2 linked regions of the Struthio camelus genome follow. The protein of the gene in region 2 binds, or shares a complex with, the protein of the main gene of each other region. Links are inferred from orthologs where the notes say so. Each region holds a gene or a part of one and is shown on either strand. Other genes may lie near its edges.

Region 1 (11,356 bases), on a different chromosome or scaffold from region 2:
GAGGAACATCCTGTATCCATCCCTGTACCTCTGCAAGCAGACCTTCCTGCCATTCCAATGGGATTCTGTGCATGCAATGGCTCGGATGGTTGGGGTGCGGGTATATACATCCCCAAACTGAGGACAACACCCGGCTACGTTTCCGTACCTTCCAGGGATAATAAAGCCCAGCTGTGTGAGAATACTGTTCACATATGAGTGAACAAAAGCTTCCTTTAGAGACAATGATGCTCCAGAAGATGTCTGCCTCCGAAGAGGAGGGTTTGGCCTCCTCTCCTGGATCACAGTCTTCCAACAAACGCTTCAGAGGTAGTTCAGGTGTTTCTTTTGCAGCCTCCCGCCCTGACAGGGTACACTTTTCTTCCTCAAACACACATCTCACTATTGCAGCCCATGCATTTATCAACTCTAGATTACGGTATCCGCCAGAGGACTTCGGGTTAAAACTTGACACCTCTGTCCTTTCAGGTGGCAGAGGCTGACCTCCTGGACAGTTCACTATACAACCCCAAACATGGCAGCGCATGCATCAGAAGCACTTCTGCTGCAGCCCTCCAGAAACGGCCGTGTAAGCTGAAGGGTTCTCCCTAGGCCCTCCACCACCTTGGTCACGGCTGCTGTCCCTCAGGCACACTTGCTTTTGGGGAATGACACCACTTGCACCACAGCTAGGGGACGATGAAACATGCAGTCTGATTTCCTAATGTCCTCATCCAGGCTTCTGCAGCCTGAAGCCTTCGGAGCACTGAACAGCTGGTTTGAGAGAGCAGCTGGAGTTCCTCACTGAGCTCCAGGTCATGACCTGCCAAAGTACACGCTCAGTGGCGTCTGTTACAGGTATCTCTTGTGCTCCTATGGCCGTTTCTCCCTATAGGCTGCAGCACTGCCCCTTGCTCACTTTTTTGCCACTTGGAGAGACAAGCTTCCCTTTCTGCAAACCACCATGGCACCATGTCCTAACTAGCATAGCAACTGCTTAATCTTCAAAAACTGTAAAGAACCCGTATAAGCATGATTACTCTTTCCATGCCGCAAGCCAGTGTGCCACAAAACAACCTGCTGGGAGCCCAAAGAACAGAGAAGAATCGGAATCAACAGTTACTCTGTAACTCAAGATCAGTTCACAGGAGCCTCTTCTGGGGGGATTCACAGATTGGCCGCCCCAACAGTGTGTCGCTGGGATGGAAACGCTTTGATAAAGTCTACCCAGATGCTGCTTGTAATTCAATAGACGGCTCCATTTGAAGGAAGACACTGTTCAGATGACAGAGCTGGAATCAGTTGACAAGTCTCCTGACCTCTTATCTCAGGTACCACCACCACTGCATGACCTTCTCACACTGTCGTTATCTCCCAAGAGAAGCATCTGCTTCGTTCTACCGCTCCTCCACTCCCAAGGGTTTTAACCACTCTCGTGGTTGTGTCAGCTCAAATACTTGCATGGCCACTCCTCAGGAAAAATATATGAAGATGCTTTTTATTTTTAAAATACAGGTTTTTATACCACATGCAGAACAGTCGACCAGGAAAGGCCACAAAACAGCTGACCTGAGGAAGCTATAATCCATAAGGGAAGAGATAGGCAGCATTTGAGGAACCTCTCAAATGTGGCTGGCTGCCAAAAGAACAATGGAGTTTTAAAAATTCATGCAAAGCAGAGTCTTTAACACTTACACAGAAGGGTTTGCCCCAAACCCATTGTAACACCATCAGCTGGTGGTGGACACCCATGCTGCAACGCAAATCACACCAATCAGAACCCCAAGGCTACTAGATACAACATCCAACAACTACATGATTTAATCACGGGACAAGGGTAACAGAAATAGATGAGGACCCAAACCATGTTTGTGTGGCTGCAAGTACTTGAGACCATACTCCTTATCTACGATGGTTTTTGTTGACAAAACTGGAGGTAAGATTTTCTTCTTTCCTGCCTCTAAAATGGCAGTCCCCTACACGTACTTTCCCTAACAGAAGAAGAAAAGAGCAAGAGTATTAACACTTGGCACTAGTAACCAAAGTACTAGTGGCCACAGTCAAGGCCAGCTGGAGCCTGTTTTTACAGAACAGGGAACGTTGTAATGACTGCAGATAAGTGTCACAGAGGTAACCTAAAGAACCCCCTGCCAGCAACAGAAAGCACGAATGGACCACAAGGAAATGAATAAGAGAAGTTGCAGGATTGGTTAATAGGGATTAGACTATGATTGGGGGGGGGGGGGGAGGTTGCGATTGGGTTATAAGGGGATCAATACAAGCAAGAACTTGTGGGCAAGGTCCTTCTGTGGAGGCACCCAGCTTAAGCTGTACCTTTATTACGCACAACAAACTTTTTTTTTGGTTTAGAAAAATATTCAAAGTTGAATTGGGAGAATAAGCAGAAACTGAGGGTAGAGCCAAAATGGTTGGAGGTGGCAACTGCATAACTCCTTGAAGGTGGCAACTGCATAATGGCTGCAACACTAAGGACTCTCCCTTTCCATGTAACCATCTCTCTGATGTGCAGAGATCATAGCACTGGGGCGCAGCTGCCTACTAGAAGTTTGTTTTATTTTTAAGCTTGTCACCGCTTTGGAGCAGGGTCCTTTTTTTTTTTTTATTTTGTGCTTGTACAGCATCTGATACAATGGGTTCTTGCTCATATCTGGGGCTGCTCAGTGGCATAGGACTGTACTGCACCACGCAATTCACATTAGCTTAATAAATCCAAAGCGTGGTATCTTTGATGCATGCCTGAAACCTTCTAGGTAGGATCTAGAAAGCCATATCTCACAAATATGGGAGATTTTTCAGTTCACACTAGGCTCAGTTTGAGTTTCCAAAGCAGCTCCATAAAACTGTTCAATCCCACTCTGAAAAAGCTAGGTGTTGTCTCTACTGCACTGTTACCTCCAATTATAAGTTTAGCCTGGCCATCACTTCATCTAGTACTTCTTTTACCTCAAAGCAAGCACTAGGTGACCTACCCCTCAGGGCCGGGTGGCGTGTTCAGAGTTCTCCCTGCCATCACCATTTATCAGCCACTAATCCAGACCAGGACTGCTGATCCATTCCTGGTGCTATTCACCAATTCAAGCCAAACCCAAAGCTTTCAGTGCATGGGGCGTTTTCTAAACCTAGGCTGCTTTTGGGGAAATGACTGAACACACTGCTCACTGCAGCGGACCTAAGCTGCAAGAAAGAGCTACTCCGAAGCTTTGCTCTGAGCATCTATTTCAGATACAGAAACAGAGAGGTTTTATCATAAATAAAGAAGTTTGAGCATACTGCATGTTCATTTCTCCTAACCCTCCACGTTCTGTACACTTAAAGCACTGTCCTTCTCATTTGGATTAATTCATTATTTACTGTACTGTTACACAATAACTCATCCTTTGCAACTCATTTGCTCATGAGGAAAATTGTACTTGCAGCAAAATCGAAGGCTGAATTACTGAAAAGCTACTCAGAGATATTGTGAAAAGTCACTCAGAGATAACTACCCAGCTCTCAGTACCTTTTGCAGACTGTTCAGGTATTAGAGGCTGTTTCTACTGAAAGAAACGGCCTTAGCAAGAGACGCATTAACTTAAACATCAAAATCCTGCACACACAATAGTGGCCTGCCGTCCTGCATGCTGTCCTCCCCATGCACAGCTTACAACCATATTCACTAATCTCCCAGGTAATACTTAAAAAAGCAAACAAACAAAGAAAAACTGAATACGATGATTTTCTTTGGACCTTTTCTGAGCCCTTCAAGACTTTCTATGTACAAACTAGCCTTATGTTCTCAGCGAGTTTTCCTTATTTCCCTTATGTAGGGGTCTGCTACACAGGAACAAGGAAGCACACTCTCTCTCTCTCTCTGCTTCTCTTCTTCTCTCTTTCTCTCTGTCATACACAGACACACACACAATTTTTCCCTCTCTTTAAATACGTTTCACAAAAATAAGTATGTCAGTATCTACCTGATTTTTTTTTTTTTTTAATAACTGTCATGACTCCGAATTAGGAACTTCCTTCACCTCTCTTTGTGGAAGAGGTGCTTGGTGGCAGGAGAAGACAATACACAATACTTACCAGTTCTCATTTAAAATACACAGAGAAACCTAGAATTTTGCAGCTGGTACACTGCTGATAGATTCACCTCACCTGATAATATACGACCGACTTGCAAACAACCCCTTTTATTTGGTTAGAGGATAAAGTAACAGACAAAAATACTCTACAAGATAGTCACTGAATAAGCCATTCAGTTGACTATGAAGTCAGGAATATCCTCTTTATAACAGACAATTCAGTTGAAAATTCCTAGAAAAACCACACGCCTATCATTTTTTCTATTGACAGACTCTTGGCCTGTGGGTGCATTCTGGACAGTAAGAGTTCTCTGGATCACTATTTCTCTAGAGGATCTGGAAGAAAAAGATATCTGCAGGGTATATAGTCCCTTTCCTCATACCTCCTTGACGTACTCTACTGGCAAAAAGAAGAAATACTTAAGGCCCAGTTTTTGTAGAGCACACTATGATTTTGCTATACTGGACATAACCATAGTAGGAATAAATAAACTGAAGAACAACAGTTGTACAGTTGCAACTATTTTTCCATTTCTTATGGTCTTCAGGACTGGATGCCTCTGAGATATGTTTCAGGCAAACACTTCAACATTTCATTGGAAATGACATAATCCTTTCTCCTCTATGCACGTACTAAAAGCATGTGCCTTTTCCCAGGTATTGGCACATCACAAAAGTCCTAATCTCTGAAGACAGTTGCTAACGTAATTTAGAAAATAAGCAGCAGCAGAAGTGAAATATCTCCCCATTGTATCTATAAATGTTGAGAAAAAAAAAAAAAAGACAAAACACCATACTGCCAAGGAAGCTAGAAGTTTTACAGTGAATGCTCAGGCTATCTATAAAACATACTCATCCTACCTAAGTTGCTACCTTTCCTGATTTCTAGCCAGGCTAAAATTGCAATAACATGTACCTTGCGAGTGCCTACTGCACTTCAAGAGCAATTTCTATGCCAGAAGAAGCAAATCTGCAGAAGGCAAATCACTAAGCTCTACCAGTACCAGACACAGGGCAGGCAGGATTCACTGGCTTCAAGACTTCCCAGAAGCACGATGGTCCAACGAAGCACACAAGCCAGAGACGAAGCACACAAGCCAGAGACGGAAGTACCCAAGCCATCATTCTAGTAATTGGCTCAACAATTACAGGGTGAAAAAACACGTGAGCAGCCTTTAATCACGGATATTCAGATTCCAAACAGTTTAGGCCTAGTTTTTAGGAATGCTCCGCTGTCAGTCGGGGGTAGATGTGTTGTTCTCAGCAACGCCTAAAAGCAAGCCCTCCTTAACATTGTCCATGTTTTAAACATTGTCCGCGGATTAACTTATCTTGATTCAAAAAGGTGTGACCCACGCTTGCATAATATGAAAACAGAGACCTATCGAAACAAGTTCCCGACTCCTGCCCATAAAGGATCCTTAAAGCGCTGCACAAATACCTAAGGCTAGAAATCACTTCGCCGTTTCACCTCGCCGCAGGCCATCATCCATGCAGGCGCCCACCTCCGCGCCCAGGAGGATGCTGAGCCACCCCAAGGCCTTCCCCGGGGCGGGGGCTGCCGGGTGCCACAGAAAACCAAGCGGACGAGATAGGCCGAGCTTCTTCGGGGCCGGCGTGACAGCGTTTCAAACATTCCTGAAGATCCTCAAGAACACTACTGCTTCTCTCTAGGCTGCTTAATAACACCCACCGCTCCCCGCCAGGCAGCCCGCGCTGACCGCAGCGCACACCCTCGGCCGAGGCCTCCGCGGCCCCCTCCGCGGCCAGCGCCCGGGACCCCCGGCCCCGACCCGGGGCAACCGGCGCCTCCGGGCGGCTCCTTCTCCCTGACACACGGGTTTCCTCCACAAGCACCGCTCTCCCGAAGGAGAAGGGAAAACTCCCTCCGCACGCTGGCGGCGAGGGCAGCCCCGGCCTCTCCCTCCCCTCCCCGGGGCGCTGCGGCGGCTCTCGCAGCCCGTCGCCCCGCTACGTACGCGGAGACTATCTTGCCGCTGAGGATCTCGGCGGGGGCCATGGTGAGGGCGACGGCCGAGCGCGGCGGGGATCCCGGAGCGACTGCGGGCAGCGCTGGCCCCGCCGCGGCCCTACTCCGCGCCCCACGTGGCCACCAACTTTCGGCGCGGCCGCGCAAGCACCGCCCGCGGGGCGGCAGTACCGCCGTGCCGTGCCGTGCCCCTTCCCCTCCCCTTCCCCTTCCTTTCCTCTTCCCTTCCCCCTTCTCCTCCCTTCCTCGCCCCGCCGCCGTGAGGCGCCGGCCCGGCCGCCTCCCGCCGCTGGGCTGAGGAGCGCGGGCTCTGAGGCGCCGCGAAATGGCGGCCGCGCCGCGCTGCGCGCCCCTGCTGTGAGGAGAAGGGGCCTGGGCGGGACGTGGGGGCCGCAGGCGCTGTGAGAGGAGCGGGGAGGGTGGAAAAGCAGCCTCTGCCTCCGCTCGGGCGTTTCAACGCGTTTGTCCGGCAGAAGGTCACCCAGCTCGTCTAATCGGCACAGAAAGAGGGTAGCGGAGAGGGGGGTTTTGGCCCTAAGGTTCAGTGAGGTCTTTGCGGGTGGTAGAAATGAGCTCCCAGTGGCCTCTTCCGAGGGACGTGCCTGCAGTAAGTTATCCCCTTGGGACCGAGGAACATGTAGTTACCCATCCAGCTGGCTGCTCAGATGTGTGTGCTTCTCCATGCCTGCTGTTACTTCTATAACCAGTGCTTTTCCTTATTCTGCAGGTTAGTACAGACATTTTAGGACCTTGCTGAGAGAATGAACTTTCAGTGGTTTTCTCAAGCACACAGCAAACGTGTGGTGATGGTCAAGCCAGAGCTGGAGACGCGAAAAGCAGTCACATGTCACAGGTGAGGCAGGCTTGCCCAGGCAAAGTGAAGTCAGGACCCAGAGAAGTTGAGGAGCCCATCAGTTTTTACCACTAAGATCTAGCACACGGTCAGAGAAGGGGCCAGTATGCAAGAAACCCCGGCTAACAAGGTCAGGGACAGGGAACTCGCAAAGTGCCCCCCCGTAACTTAGATTTTTGCTTCATATAGGGCTTGGAAAAAGGAAGTTCATTCAGTCCTGCTGCAAGGTAATCATTTCACAAGTGGGTTTGGGAACTGTCAGGTTTTGAGAAGGGAGAAGTACAAGCCTCTCAGGCTCCCTCTGGGACACAAAGCTCTGAGATACACGTATGGGTCCTTCAGCCACAGAAGCTTTAGGATTGCTTGTCTGGGATTCTAGGAGGGGAATAAAATCCATACATAGTTCAAAACTTGTCTGAGGGTAAGGCTTTTCTCCTTTGATTTCCGTCCTTCCATAGCTATGGCTCTTTTGCCTTCCTCCCCCCCCCCCCCCCAGCTTTCATTTTAGCGAGGAGAGAACTCGCTGTCTGTTGAGCAGTCAAAGCATCTTAAGTTAACAATATGTTGCAATTATAAGACCAGAGGTTAGAAATTTCTCTTTAAAAGTGACATGGAAAAGAGGTAAAATTTTGCATTTTGGAGCTTTTATATGCTAAATAGAAAAAGCTAGAAAGAACTTCTTTCATTATATATTCCCTTTATTTCCCGGAGCATTCCAACAGTTGTAAAATTATACACTTAAAACTGAGATTAGACAATTAACTGAGAGAAGGGATTTTTTTCCTAGGCTGCTTAAAATTCTGTGCTTCGTTTGTTTTTGCTGTTGCCTTTATCTGAGCCCTGAATGAACTTTCGGGGGAAAAAAACCTATGTTTTTAGAAGAATTCAGAAGACACACTCCTTTGGTTCAGGACAGCAACAGCTTACAAAAACAAGCTTTGCCAACCAAGATTTGACACTTACAGTGCAAAAATATCAGGCAGGAGAAGAAAAAGAAGAAATCCATCTCGTTCGGATGACCTGATTTGCACAGTGAGCAGAAGCTGGTGCCATCAGGAGCTCTGGTTTCCTACCCAGAGTGGCTAGCTTGCATGATTTGTGTGTGCGTGTGTTTGTGAGTCTTATAGCATATGCTAGTTTTCTCAGTGTTCCAGCTCTTGAAAAAATGTGTTCAGGAGAAATTTTAGATAAAAAGGTAATTTTTTAGCTCTCACGGTGGCAGATAAAATTTTGAAAATGACCTGAATGTATTGTCTAAAAAATGAGAAGGGAAGTAAAAATAACCCTAAACAACTTCTTTTTCTTATTTCATGATTTTTAAGCCAGACTCATTTTTGGGAATGAATTTTAAATGCTTATGCCAGAAAATCAGACTTACTAAACTGCTTTTTATCATAGGAGAAATATCTTTTGTATTCCTAAATTTTCTCATTAGTCAGGCACGAAAGCTCAGATTGCTGCTCAGAAGTTGTGGGTGTCATGCCTTTATGTAAGAACACCTTCTTTAATGTTTAATCTTGATTGTCATCCTGAGGTCAAAATACTAGGAATGGGATGGGACCCTCCCCATGGAAGAGGGATTGGGTGATGAGAAATGGCTGAACAGACCCCTCTGCTCAATTCATGTCAAAGCTGTATCCAGCTCATAAATGGCAGCAGAAAATTTGGGGCTACTATCATGTAAAGGAAATCGCAAGGAAGCACAGTGGCAAAGGAGACAAATGTTGTGAAAATATGTAAAAAGTCGAGAGCGATGATCACTGTTTTATGCTTTGAATACACTTCTTTTGACCATGTTAACACAAAAGGGTGAGGAAAAAACCAAAAACCTAATGCCATGATAAGAACGGAGAGCTCTGAGTGGTCTGTGTTGTACCAAAGCAGACTTATCCTCTAAAGGCTGTTTGTTAGGATGAAGAAGGATAAAAGCAGCCGCTTCAGGGGAACGTGAAGCTGCAGGATTTCTGAGATGTCTCTGCTCTGAGCGCTGCCCCAGGACAGTTGTTCTACTTCCCTCACCTCCCAGGCATCCTTGGGTTTGCAGCTCCCACAGTATGACTGTTTACCTTTACATCCACCCCCCTCTTACCTAACATGTCAAAAGTCATGAAGGTTGCTCTTTAAAAAAACCATGAAGCCTGCAGAATCCACGCCAGAAAGACTCTCTGTTACTGGTGAGCTAACAGCTGAGCCTGTGATTGCACAGAGCCCCAGAAGGTGCAATTTGTTCTGAGGAACTGACCTTTTATCAGCAAACTAAGGAAGAACGTTAGAGTGTGCTTTACCCACCAAGTAGAACAGTTAGGACAGGGCATCTTTCTATCCCAGCTTGCTCACTTCCAATAAAGGAGGAGGAACAGAAAAGTAATTAGCTTCATGAACCTGGGTAAGAAAAAAGATTTGGAGAAAGTCTATTTGCTAGAGCATGCTTCAGAAAAACAGTATTAGACTTTGATTCTTCAAACACTTCTGGGGAACCTTTCCAGCTCGGAGATGTCACACTGAGCAAAGCAGGATTGGTTAAATGAATGAAGTTACTCAATGTTAGAATAGGTTAGAACATAGCTTACCTCCTGTGACGTTGAACACAGCTTAGTAGTGGGGTAACAGTGATACATTTGAAAACGTGCTATTGGTCAACTCTCGCTTTGGTCAGATGACGGAACTTTGATGCAAGGCTTGAGATTGACCTCAGTGTACACCCTTTGAAATAGACCTCATTGCTATGCTGTGTTTAATATAATATTAGCTAATGTGAGCTAACATTTGTTCCGTCACAAAGTGTTTCCTAAGGATTATTATCCCCTGATTTGTTGAGCTATCTCAGGTTCCCCTTCCTTCTAAGTGGATACCTCACAAAATGTAGCAAGTTGGTGATGCAGTGTATTGCCAGACAGTCACTGCAGAAATGGCTGTCCTGAGTTGAGGTGCTGCTTGATCTCTGGCTACCTACTGATGCCTTCTGCTGAGGGTTTCTGGTCTTATGCCTGAACTGGCAGAACAGGGACTTGGAATGCTTGTCATCAACTTCAATGCAAAGGCAGCTAGATAAGTCAAATCACTTCCACTGTAGGTAGTTTTACCTACAGTGAATTGATTAGCTATAAAGCAGGTACTTACATTGTAGATTTCTCTGGCAGGGATGTAGAGCTGTTTTTTTTTTTTGTTTCTTTTTTTTTTGGTTGCTCTTTTAGCTAACCTCCTTTAGATACATCACCTTACCTTCATACAGAAATCTTCCAACGCTTCTCATTGAGCTCTCAGGAATCCTTGCAGAAGAAAGATGTCTTGTTAACCCTTTGAAGAATTTTGTGTCGCACTTGATTCCTTTGGGAACTGCCACAGCGCTTTGTAAATTTGGGCCCTAGGTTGTCCTGACTCTTTGGAGTTACGAGATTATTCACAGTAAACAAATCATTTTCTAAGTAGTCCTCTCTCTCACGTAATAACCATTCCTAATATTTCTACAGCATGCTGTGGCACTCCATGCAGTAAACAAACAGCCTAATTTACTATCCAAGCCCCCTTCTGAGTAAAGTATTACCACGTTTTCCAGATAAGGTAGCTGAAAAAGAAAGATTAAGTGATTGCCTAAAGCCAAATAAAAAACACAAGCAATGTTCTTGAAATTAACTGGCTTGTCATTTCCAATTCCACCTTATTTTTTATGGCTAATAACTTTTAGTGGCTTGTGGCTACATAGGACTTCCCTTTCTTTTTTCCAACAGCAGAATTTCGCAAGAAGACTATGAAAAATACATTCCTAATATTACTTTTCTGTAGAAGTAACTGCTATACCAGTTCCACCTTTCTATCTATGTAGCAATTGTAGCTGCTACACAGACACATGCAAGGGATAGGCAGAGAGAAAGGTGAGTTTCAGGACTGAAGGTAGGAGGAAGATGTCCAGAAGATAATCTGTCTATTACGACTTAATATGCACAACCTCGCAGATAATTCTCCCAGCCGAAGAGCGGACATTCTTGGCAGAGCAAGGTAGCGTCACTCTGCTACCTCTGCAAGAACCTCCTCCACAAGGAAGCGCTAGCTATTCCTGATGAGAACAAGGTATTCTCTGATCCCAACAATTCTGTTGCTGCAGTGTCCTGCAGAGAAAGGAGAAGGCTGGACAGATCCTGAGAAGTCGATGATAAGGGAAGTCGAAGGCTGGCGTGAAGCCAGCTTTCCCACAGACCGTAATTTCAGCAAGTGAAGCATTCGGAGGTAAACACAGATAAACGGAGTTTCCCACTTCAGATCTGGGTGATGCAGTACTTGTGCATGTCTCATTATCTAGTTTGAAACACTGAGCAGTGTTTGATATTGGTGTACACTCAGAGTTTATAGTATGCAGCAGGTGTAAGAAGTTGTGCCTGTAAGATGCTTTTACTTAAAGCATTCCTGATTCCACAACATCACTTTTTTTTCTAAACAGTTGCCTCTAGATCA
Region 2 (11,371 bases):
CCCGGACCGGGATGCAGGAGCTGCTGCAGATGGGGACGTGTTCAGGGAGGAGGCAGAGGAGGGAACGGGGTTGAACCCTGCCCTGGCCGTGATGCCCTGGGCCTTGGGCACTTTAGCTATTCCAGAACGGTTTGGAGACAACTTGATGACAGGCTACAAGTGGCTCCACAGGGAGGTAATTTCTGGGCACAGATAAAAGCAAAGTGAAATCCAATGGCTGGCAGCTGAAGCGAGACTAATTCAGCCTGGAAACAAGGCACAGGCTTCTGTCAGGGAGTGCAATTAACCCTTGAGCAGCTTCCTAAAGACAGGGGAGCTCTGCCAGCCCGCGGCATCCTCGACGCCAGGCTCCCGCTCCCTGCAGAGACGGCTGGTGCCTCAGCCCAATTTTTGCAGCCAGGGAGTGTGCCAGGAGGGAGAGCCGTGCCGGATGGGGGTCTCCGCAGCCCCTCACGCTGCGGCCCATGCTGGGCCCCCAGCATGATGCACTGGCACTGAGGGACGGTGCAAGCGCCCCCGTGTCTGCCTCCAGCTCGGCTGCGCCACCCCGACCTCGCCGTGCCCACGGCTGCTGCTCCCCTCTCTCCGGCCCCATGCCAGCCTGATGCTGCCCCCCCAAAAAGCATCCCAGCCATGGGGCCCTCGCGGCCCCAAAAGTCACTGGCAGCAAGGGACGTGCTCGCGGAGATGGGCACAGGCAGGGACGGGGTGCGGGGCTGTACCTTGTCCAGGGGTAGCACGGCTCCGTTTTAGACGAGACATTGGAGAAGGTGCCTTCGGCACAGGGCTCGCAGGGGGACGAGGTCCGGGCCGCGGCCTTGGCTGCAAAGGAGCAGGGGTTGCGGCAGGTCAGAACGGGGCCGCGGGCTGGGGCGAGGGCGGCGAGGCCGGAGCTCTCCCGAAGCTCTGCCAGCAGGACCCGGCTGGCGGCACACCCCTCTCCCGGTCCAGCGGAGAGGGGAGGAGCGGGCCCGTCTCACCTGCCACAAAGCCAGCGCCCCGCTGGCAGGGCGGGTTCTCCACGCAGGTCTGGCAGCTGGCGTCGGAGCAGTGCATGCCGGCCCGGCACTGGCACACCGTGTTGTGCGTGGCGTTCCCTTCCGTCTTCACCACGAGGCCGGCGTCTGGGCGGGAGGAGCAAGACGGGGGTGAGGCACCAGCGGGACGCGGGCGACCGCCCCGGCGCAGCCGCGGGCGCAGGGACACTCACTGTCCTCGCAGATGTCGTGCGGGTTGCAGTGCCTCTCCTTGGTCCAGCCCTGCTGGTAGTGTCCGCTCTCGCAGGCGTCGCAGAGGGACTCCGCCGTGCCGTTGCACTCGGAGACCAGCTTTTTCCCTGCAAGCGAGGCTGGTTGTGGGGGGGGCAGCGCCACAGCTCTGCCGGCAGGACGCGGGGGGGGCGCTGGCGGCTGCGGCTGGCCGGCCGGGCGCTGCTCCGGCCGTGGGCTCGGCGGCTGGCGGCGCCGGGGGCTACAGCGGGAGGGCCGGGAGGGCCGTCCGCGCTCTCCGTGGGCCAAGGCCTGGGGAACGGCCCGGGAAGGGAGCTGGCAGCGGGTGCGGCGCCGGCGGGAGCGCTCTGCCTGCAGGCTGCCCGGGCCGCCGGGTGCTGCGGGCCGCGGGAGCACAGGCAGCGCGAGCGAGATGGGGCAGGTCCAGGGTCTATCAGGGTCCCGTGAGGTCCCCAGCCGCTCTGGCACGAAGGCGAAACGCAAGCGAAGCTGTGGGCTGCGGCCGGCGATGGGGTGAGGCGGCTCTGGCCACCCTGGAGCCGGCCCGGGGCTCAAGCGGGGACCAGGCGCCCGGGTCCCGGCCACGGCCCGGGCTCGGGGGCTCACCCGAAGGGGAAGGGTCTCCGTACCTGGCTGGCACCGGTTGCAGCACTTGTCCTTGTGCTCATACTGCTTTTCAGAGCATTTTACGGTGTCGACAGGCTGCCAGCACTGGAAAAGAAGAGGCCTGGGAGTCCGCGCTGCTCCCCGGTGCCCGCCGGGAGCCTGGCTCCCGCAGGCGGCCAGCGCTGCGCCCGCGTCCCGAGGCGAGGCGGTCCTGCAGCCCCTTCCCGGGGCCGCTCTAACCACAGACCGCAGCCGAGCCGGCTGCGCCGCCGCCTGCCGCCAGTGCGCCGTTTGAAGTGGGATGGCAGCAATTCCGGTGCAATGTTTCCCCACACTTCCTAACGGGTGGTGACTGCACAGCGCTCTGCGCCCCGCCGCTGCCAACAGCCTGCGCTCCCGGGCAGGGGCAGCAGCGCCAACCGCGCGTCCCCTGCCCCTTCCCGGCGCTCGGCTCCGAGGGGCAGCGAAGCCCTGGGCCGGCGCCTGGTGGGCACGAAGCCGGCCAGAGCCCTGCCTCGCTCCCCGCGGGCAGGGGAAGGCAGCGGGGGAGGCAGGAGCAGCCCCTGACCCCGGGGCTCAGCCCTGGGGCCAGCCTGGCCGCGGGAGGGAGTGGAGCGGCCCGCGGGGGAGCCGGCCCGGCACGGGGCAGCCCCAGCCCGGTGGCCGTTCCCAGCCGGGTGGGCGCCAGCCCGGGCGGAGGGGACGGAGGGGCCGGCGGGGCCGCGGGGTCCGAGGCTGGGGGAGGGCCGGGAGCAAGGGGCGCCGCGGCCGGCGTGGGGGTCCCGTGGGGCTGCTCCGCCGAGGGGCGGAGGGAGGCAAAGGGGCTGGGGGCGCCGCGAGGTTTGGCGTCGGGCGCCCGGCCGGCGGAGGGAAACCGGCCCCGAGGGAGCCCGACACCCTGCGTTTCTCTTGCGTAGCAGGAAAGGGAACCGAAAGGGGCTCTCAGGCCCGCGCCGTTTTGCGTGCCGGGCTGCGTGCGCCCTGTGCCGGGGGCTCGGCCGCTCGGCGCCCCGGCCCAGCGCGGCTGCGCCCCGACCGGGCAGCACCGGGCTGGCGGCAGAGCGGCGCCGGGTCCGCGGGGCGTCGGGGCGCCCGCTCCCCGGGCAGAGAGCGGCGCCGGGACGGGGACCGGCCGGGCACGGGCAGTGGGGGTCCCGGGGGCACGGCGCGGCGAGCGCGTGTGGGAGGGTGCCGAGAAGCTGAGCGCTTGCTGGGAAATTCCCAGCCACAAAAATGAGGAACAATAAACTTTTGTGTCTCGAAGCGAGAGCCGGGCGCAGGGCTCCCGGCCAGGATTTCCTTTACGGCTTTCCCAGCGCGGCGGCAGCGGCGCTGGCCTCGGCCGGTCCTGCCCGACCCCCAGCGCCTCCCGGCCCGGCGCGGGGAGCGTTCCCGCGGGACGGCCCACGGGGCAGGGACGGGCGGCCCGAGGGCGCCGCGGCCGGCGCTGCCTTCCTGGAAAGCCCTGCGGGGCCGGGCCGGCCCTGGCCGGGGTGTCACGCCGTGCCGCGGTCCCGGCCCCCGCGCTGCCGCCCGCGCTGCGCGCTCTGCCCCGCAGCGGGCGGGCAGGGGCAGCCCGGCATCGCTCCCCCCGCAGCGGGCGGGCAGGGGCAGCCCGGCATCGCTCCCCCCGCAGCGGGCGGGCAGGGGCAGCCCGGCATCGCTCCCCCCGCAGCGGGCGGGCAGGGGCAGCCCGGCATCGCTCCCCCCGCAGCGGGCGGGCAGGGGCAGCCCGGCATCGCTCCCCCCGCAGCGGGCGGGCAGGGGCAGCCCGGCATCGCTCCCCCCGCAGCGGGCGGGCAGGGGCAGCCCGGCATCGCTCCCCCCGCAGCGGGCGGGCAGGGGCAGCCCGGCATCGCTCCCCGCGCAGCCGCCCGGCCCTGCCCAGCCCCGGCCCGGTCCCCGCGGGCCGCGGCCGGCCGCCGTGGGAAGGGGCCGCCGGCGCCGGTGCGCAGCCTGGGCGGGAAGCAGCACTTACGCCCCAGAGCACCGCGCAGAGGAGCCAGAGGAGTCCGAGCAGCTTCATGGCGTTGAGCGTCCCGCAGCCGCTGCGGGGGCGGCGGAGCAGTCCGTAATAACGCCTCGGCCCGTTTCCGCCCAGGAAGGGGACGTAGGGCCGCCCATCCTCGGCTCGCGGAGCACACGCTGTTTGGCGCAGGCTGCTGCCAACGCCCCCTCGCAGTGGCGGGCGTGCTCAGGCGGCAGCCGCTCGCCTCGGGGACTTCCCCGGCGTGGGACGTCGAGGGGCCGGCACCGCGGGCGGGAGGTGCAGCCCGCTCCGGCCGGGGCTGCCCGGCGGGTCCCACCAACGGGAGCCACTCGCGCGGCCTCGGCCGGTCCCCGCGGGGCGGCGAGCCCCGGCCCCCGGGAACGTAGGGCAGAGCCCTGCTCGGGGCGGAGAGCAGGGGGCGACGGGTCTGTCCCCCCGGGTCTGACGGGCAGGGGCGGCAGAGCCCGCTGCACCGAGATGACGGGAGCCCTCCTGCCCAGCGCCGCTCTCGTGCTCCTGCCCACCTCGGTGTCCCGCGGGTGCCGGCTCGCCGGGCCCCAGGAGCGCCCGTGCCCTCAGCCCTGGTCTGCCCGGTGATGCTCAGTGAGCGGCGCTGCGGCGGGGAGCCCCGGCGCCAGGCTCCGCTGGCCGCGCAGAGCAGCGGAAGAGCAGCCAGGGAGTCCCCGGGCAGGGGAATCCCGCTGGCACAGACCCCGCAGGGCTCGCCGTGCCCGGCTGGCCCCGCACCCCAGCCCGGAGAGCCACGCGGCCGGCACGCGGCAGCACCGGCGCAGCGGGACGCGCACCCGCCTCAGTCATCCTGCCGCCGACCCTGCAGGGCACCAGCCCGGCAGCTTGGCCCGGCATCGCCCCTGCCCGGGGCAGCAGGGAGCAGCCGGGGTCGGACCCGCCGGTTCCTCCCGTGGTGGCTCTGCGTGAGGACCCGGGCCCGGCTGTGCGCCCAGCTCCCTGCCCGCTCCATGTGCCTGCCGGGCCGCCCGCACCTCGCCCGGGTGCGCGGCTGAGGGCAGGACTCACCGGTGGGCCACGCGGAGGAAAGTGTTTGTGCTGGCCCTGCTAACTTATTCTGGAGGCAGAAGTTCAAGGTTTCACTTCAGTTTCCCAAGGGTAATTCAGGACGGTGGCCCCCATCCCTCCCCACAGGGCCGGCATCCGCACGGAGTCCCCAGAAATACGTCAGCCCCGAACATGGAAGGGGCAGCAGTGCTGTGGGGCCGGGTGCTGCCGCAGGGTCTGCCCTGCCGAGGATTCCCCAGAGCAATCCCCAGGGAACTTCCAGACTCATTTCCTTGCTTTGGAGAATTTCCCAGAGTTCCTGTTTCCAGTTCATGGTGAGTGGCCAGGCAGGAAACGGGCTTTCTCTGAATCCCTCCGTGCCCCACACGCAGTCACACGGAGCCTCCCTGCAGCTGTGCTGCAGCCATGTCCCATCCCACAGCCATGTCCCATGCTACCTCCATGCTGCGGCCACGTCCCATCACACCACCACGTCCCGTCCCACCGCCTCGCTGCAGCCATGTCCCATCACACCACCACGTCCCGTCCCACTGCCGCGTCCTGTCCCACAGCTATGCTCTGGCCATGTCCCATCCCATGGCCATGACCCATCACACCGCCATGTCCCATCCCATGGCCATGACCCATTACACCGCCATGTCCTGTCCCACTGCCATGTCCCATCACACCACCATGTCCCATCCCATGGCCACATCCAGTCCCACTGCCACGTCCCATCCCACAGGTACACTGTGGCCACATCCCGTCCCACCGCCAGCTCCCATCCCATGGCTACGCTGCAGTCATGTCCCATCCCACCACCACATCCCCCCCCATGGCCGTGTCCCATCCCACCGCCACGTCCTGCCCCAGGGCCACACTGTGACCGTCACGCCCCACACAGCAGCCCCGCAGCAACACAGCTGCCCGGCCCGCGGTCGCCCCGTGCCAGTCCGGCCCTGGTCCGACCGCTCGCGCTGCCCGGCGCCGGCTCCTCGCCGGGCGGCACAGCCGCGCCCGAGCCTGGCTGCCGGGGGCGACGGCCCCACACCGGGGCCGGGGCCGGGGCGGCGAGGGCAGCCCCACGGCCTCCCGCCGCTCCCGCGCGCCCCGGATTCCCCGCGCCGCCGTCGTTTCCCAAAACTGACGGGCTCGAAAGCCCGAGCGGTCCCAGGGGAGCGAGGAGGGCGCAGGGCGGCGGCGGCCGGGGATTTCTGGGCCGGCCGGCAGGGAGCGGCCCGGGAAGTCCCCGCAGCCCCGGGCCCTCGCTCCCGCGGGCAGCCCGGCGCCACCGGCGCGGCCAGCAGGGCCCGGCGGGGAGACCCCCCGCCCGGCGGCCCCGCCGGCCGGCAGCCGAGGGCAGGGGACGCTCCGGGCTCCGGGCGGCGGGGCCGGAGCCGGGGCCGGGGGCGGGCGGGGGCGGGCGGGCGGGGCGGGGCGGGGCCGGGGCCGGGACCGGGGCCGGGCGGGCGGGGCGGGGACGGCCAGGGGCGGGCGGGGCGGGGCCGGCCAGGGGCGGGGCCGGCCAGGGGCGGGCGGGCCGGGGGCGGGGGCGGGCCGGGGGCGGGCGGGGCGGGGCGGGCGCAGCGCCCCGCCCGAAGCCGCCGGGGCTCCCGCGGCGCCGCCTGGCGGCTGCCGGCCCCGCCGGCCGCGGGACTACGACTCCCGTCACGCCTCGCGGCGGCCGCGGGGCACGCCGGGAGCCGGGGCGGCCGCCCGCCAGCGCGCCGCGCCGTAAAGCGCGGGGCGGCGCCCTTCCGGCGGCGTTTCCGCCCGTTCGTTGCGACAGCGCCGTGCGGCAGCGGCGGTTGGCGCCTTTGTCCTGGCGGGCGGCGGCGGGCGGCGGCGGGCGGCGGCGCGGGCCCGGCGCGGCGGTAAGTGCGCGGCGGTGCGGGGCCCCGCGGCGGGCGCGGCTTTATGAGGGGCGCGGCGTGCTCGAATAAAGACGTACCACAGCAAACCTCGCGGAGCGTCTGCGTCCTTCTCGGCGCCGCCGCCGCGGGGCGCGGCGGGTCTCGCCTCGGCCCGGGCCCGGGCCTGAAGGCAGCGCGGGCGGCCGGGCCGCGCCGCGCCGGGCGAGGCCGGGGCGCCGCGGGGGCGGCGGCTGCGCTGCGCTGCGCTGCGCTGCGGCCGTGCCGGAGGCGCCGCGGCCCGGTCCGGCCCGGCTCCCGCCCCTGCCCCGGTCGCGCACCGGGAGAGCCGCCCTGCCTGGCCGGGCTGCACCGTGAGCCGCGGCCCGGGGCGGAGGTGAAACTCGCTCTCCGCTGCGTTTGGTGCCTGCGTTGTGTTTTTGTTCTTTTTGTTCTTTTGCTTTGGGTGTGTTTTTTCCTCTCTCTCTTTTTTTGGCATTGCCCAGGAACTTCTCACAGACTTGCGCATGATGTTTCCGTTGCGCCAAATCGGTTTCGGTGTCCCGCTTCAACTGTGTCTCGCGTTCTGAAGTTGTAGCGCTACTAGTGAAATAAAACTTTGTTTTTAAATTTACAGTTTTAGAGAGAGAGACATGATGTTAATTAACTTGTGGGGAATTTACTGGCAGGTGAGCTAACGGTAGCTGTTCTTCTGTGGTAACCTGCCGGGTCTGATGGTCCCTTTGTGCACTGGAGTATCATTGTCTTTAAACTATCTAGCTATGTGTTCAGCTTCTTTGATTAAAGTCTTAGAAAGAGACTTAGTAGTGACATTATTAACTTCCCTGGTGTAGCATGCCTAAAGCTGGGATGGCATTCACTTCTGCTCTCATGATTATTAAATGACCCTTAACCACTTGTTCCACTGGGTGGGAAATGGTGAGTAGCAGTAGATACTTCTAGGTGAAAGCCCTCTACTAATTCGCTGTGGATTAGTGTTTGGGATTTGTTGCTTTATTTTCTAAGCCACCAGCAAGTTGGAAAATATTCCAATTTTTCCTCATATAGAAAGTTCTTACCCTCTCTTCTGCCAGCGACCCCTTCTCATTGCCACCCCAGAAGAAAAAGATAAGAGTCTTTTACTGTTTTTGACACTGAATTAAAATGTCCTGCCCACAGGTATTGCACATTTTGCTGATGGGTGCTTAGGGTAGATATGGTATCTCAAGATTGCAAACACGGGTGATGTTTTATGATGAGGTGCTCACAGTGGCTGTGGAATCTCTGTTCTTGAAAATGTTCTGAGCTCAGCTGGGCAAGGTCCTGAGCAGCTGGATCTAACTTAGAAGTTGGTCTGGCTTAGAGTGTGAGTTGGACTAGATGACCTCCAGAGGTCTCTTCTAACTTATTATATGAAGGCTGTTCTCCCCTCAACTGATGAGAACTTAAGCTGCAACAGCAGAATAGAAGAAAACGCTGTAGTGCCCCTGTAAAGAAAAAGGGGTCAAGATTTGAAACTTCTGATGGGGAAAGTAAAGATGACAGGGGAGAACAAACTGGCCTTGCAGGAAGATGTTGACACAACTATGGTATAAGAACTGTTTGTTTGTTTTAACCACCGCCCTGTTTTAGCAACTCCGTTCACTTTTAAGAAGACAATTAGACTGGGAGGTGTTCTCTCCCCTGCTTTTCCACAGGGCTTCCTAAAAGAAGGAGAAAAGTGATATGAATGTAGAGTTGATGGATCTTAGTCTCAAATCCTGGAGTAGATTTATTTCTCATGCTAATTAGCACTGTAAAATTGTCTTATAATTTAAGAAGTTTGACATGCTTGTTTAGAAGCTACTTTTAAATAGTAGTCAACTTAGTTTATTGTTAGGGAGTGTGCTGGTTATAGAGTACCTCATGATTAACAGTAGAAAGTTTTGTTGATGTGCTCGATTTAACCTCATGAGCTTTTTTTCAGGTTACTTCCATCCCTATAAACAGACAGTCTCAACCCTGCACTCCTGTAGATGAATGTTTGGAAAGGATGACAACCTTATTTTATTAAATAGCTTTCAGTCTTGCAAGTTTGGCTTGCAAGTTTCAGTGTTTTTTTCCTCTTTCTAAGTTTTATGCTATAGTGGCTTTTAAAGCAGAAAGTATGAATCCTGAGTATCTTAGCTGAGACTATTTCGGTAGGTGTGTGCAGTGAGTGTTGCTGATTGCTCCAGCTTTGTCTGCAATAATATAGGTTAACAAAATTAAACTTCATAGTACTAGTGGAATGAGTTAACAATACTGCATTTATGTGGTTGTGGCTAAATTCCCAGCTGTGGACCCGACTTCAGTAGGAGTTGACATCTTGATGGGCACAAAGATATGTTGTTTAGTATTGGTGTGAATGAGAAATTGTGTTTTCTGTTACTGTAAAGCTAAGACGTCAGGTTTGGTGAAGTGATCCAAGTATGGTCACTTAAGAGCCTTTAAAACCTGCTTTTTTATCTCATTCAAAGCCTATACTGAAATATTTTGGGTCCCATTATGTGCTGTCAAGATGAGTTTCCTTTCTGCTTATTAAAATATTACATAAGTGTCAACACTTCTTACCAGTGAACTGAGGGAATAGATATGTCAGTAATGGATGTATTAAATCTTAATTCAAACTTTTCAGTAGAAAACAAGTTTTATTTGTATTTCAGTTTGGCGCTGAATCATTAAAACATATCTTCAAAATAGAATAGGCTTACTGCCTTTTGACAATACAGAAAAGCTGAACCAAAATGGTGCAGTATCCATTTTTGCCAGATTTCTGTATCCCTTGTATAAAGATTCCGCTGGAGTGAAGCTTGCGTCAAGCAGACCCAGTTGGCTTCTAGTCTGCAAAGCTGTTAAGTTTAATCTTGTTCCAGTTTAATTTTAATGTCATGGATTGAAATGATATGCATGGCCATTTTTCTTTTTTGCGAAGAGTTGGATTTGGAACGAAAGCAAAATGGCTCGAGGACGCAAGAGCAATAGCATCAAACAGAGCGACTTCACTAACAGCACCAATCCACAGGATTTAGAGAGAAGACTTTTTGTCGGCAATTTGCCCACAGACCACATGACTCGTGAAGAAATGGAAGAGATATTTTCAAAATATGGCAAAATAAGGGGTTAGTATTTTATCTTATGCCTTTTTGTGACTGGGAGTTCAGTCAGAAGTATAACATTCATGCTTGTCAAACACTAATTGGTGGTGTTGAGAGGAATGACTAATATTTTCCTTAAAAAGTGACCTTTTAAAGATAACTTTCTTTAATTGCCTTTTCTCTGAGAACATAATCCCTTCAGTACAGCTGAAACCTAATGTATATATGAGCTGTCTTTTGGGGTTGAGCTGTGGTGTTATACCAAGCAAATCTATGCTATCAAGTGATTTCATAGTCTCTTAGCCAAATTTTGGTCACTTCACAGACTTCTTTGGTCACTGTTCTGTCAGAAGAAAGTTGATCTGTTTTGTCATATTGTCTGGTAGTTCAAATCCCTTAAACTCTACACTTTGATCTCGGTAGATTTGGTTTTCCCGAGGAACTTGAGTAGATGTTTCTGCATAATGCCCCTTTGTGTGGTCCATCTAATGGGATTATATAATGACCTGGGTGGAATAGTACTGTCCCTTAGTTGTAACTGGTCTTGCCCTGCTGTTAATTTTTCCAGCCCTCAGCATGTTCCATGGCTATGGGTTCGTCCAGTATGAACGTCTAGAAGACGTCCAGGCCGCTCTGGACGGTGAGAAGGGTCGCCTTTTTAAAGGGTATAGATTAGGTAAGGAAAACTGATCCATGCTCTCCTACTGACCCTAGCATGTGTTCTGGTAGAAAAAGAGTGCTTTTGTTTATAAGCTCTCTGGAAAGATCATTGTATGAAACCTGCCTAGCATTATTCTAAAATCACTTTTACTAGGAATGCATTTTCCTTCTGAGTTATTTGCTCTAAGTGCTGTGTGATCCATCTGCATTGTTTTCTCTTGCTACCTTGGTCTTTCTCTCAATTTATTTTAATGTATTAGTACTTTAATACATCTATAAACCTATGTAAGAAATTGTTCGACATAAACCCTACAAAGTATTCACTGAAACTTCATGCACTTATTTTAAAAACACTTGTAGATTAATACTGGGCTTCCTCTTGACAGGTTCAGAGGAACTGGTCTAAGAACTTAGGGGTTTGTTAGATACATGATCTTAACTTAGATTTTTTGCACATGTGAAATTAATTTCTGAGTAACACTACAAATACTAGGTGCTTTAAAAGGTCTCTTCTCATAAAGATGAAAATCTTGCTAAATTTGCTGGGAGCAGACTTAAACAGAAATGAATGGCTAGGAATCTATTTAAGAGTAATCCGTTAAACATAACGAAAAATTTAGCCCCAAAGTAAGCCTACGGTAACAGTTTGACTTAGAAGGGAATAAAAGGCGCAGTAAATAATAAGTTGGGGGAAGGTTTATGTGTAGTAACAAGTATAAACCTGAAGAAGGAAATGATGGCAAATGGACAAGGAGGGTAGAAAGAGACAAGAAGAAATTATGGGCAGCGTCATAAGACAATAAGCTTAAATAGGAAAAACTACAGCTATCTCAAATGTATTATCGCTTCTAAATAATTGCACGTTAACTTCTTAGTGGAGAAGACCACCTGGTCCTCAGTTAA

The links.
Region 1: the proteins of NCOA5 (region 2) and ESR2 are in contact, whole or in part, in a crystal structure (PDB 4ZI1), measured with the Homo sapiens proteins. The link is inferred for Struthio camelus from reciprocal best matches to the Homo sapiens genes NCOA5 and ESR2. Residues at the interface, in NP_066018.1 of Homo sapiens: Ser344, Leu345, Ile346, Leu348, Leu349, Ala350, Asp351; in NP_001428.1 of Homo sapiens: Ile310, Lys314, Phe319, Leu324, Gln327, Val328, Leu331, Glu332, Leu490, Glu493, Met494.

The regions. Positions count from the first base shown.
Region 1 is NC_090946.1:75,453,673-75,465,028, forward strand, and holds the start of ESR2 (estrogen receptor beta), read left to right. Parts: upstream 1-6,273; 5' UTR 6,274-6,411; intron 6,412-6,781; 5' UTR 6,782-6,907; intron 6,908-11,356. Other genes in the region: MTHFD1 (C-1-tetrahydrofolate synthase, cytoplasmic), read right to left, coding at 6,044-6,084.
Region 2 is NC_090959.1:19,462,925-19,474,295, reverse strand, and holds the start of NCOA5 (nuclear receptor coactivator 5), read left to right. Parts: upstream 1-6,569; 5' UTR 6,570-6,716; intron 6,717-9,645; 5' UTR 9,646-9,669; coding exon 9,670-9,832; intron 9,833-10,376; coding exon 10,377-10,484; intron 10,485-11,371. Other genes in the region: CD40 (tumor necrosis factor receptor superfamily member 5), read right to left, coding at 723-822, 981-1,124, 1,211-1,336, 1,859-1,940, 3,814-3,861. UniProt on the Homo sapiens protein: Nuclear receptor coregulator that can have both coactivator and corepressor functions.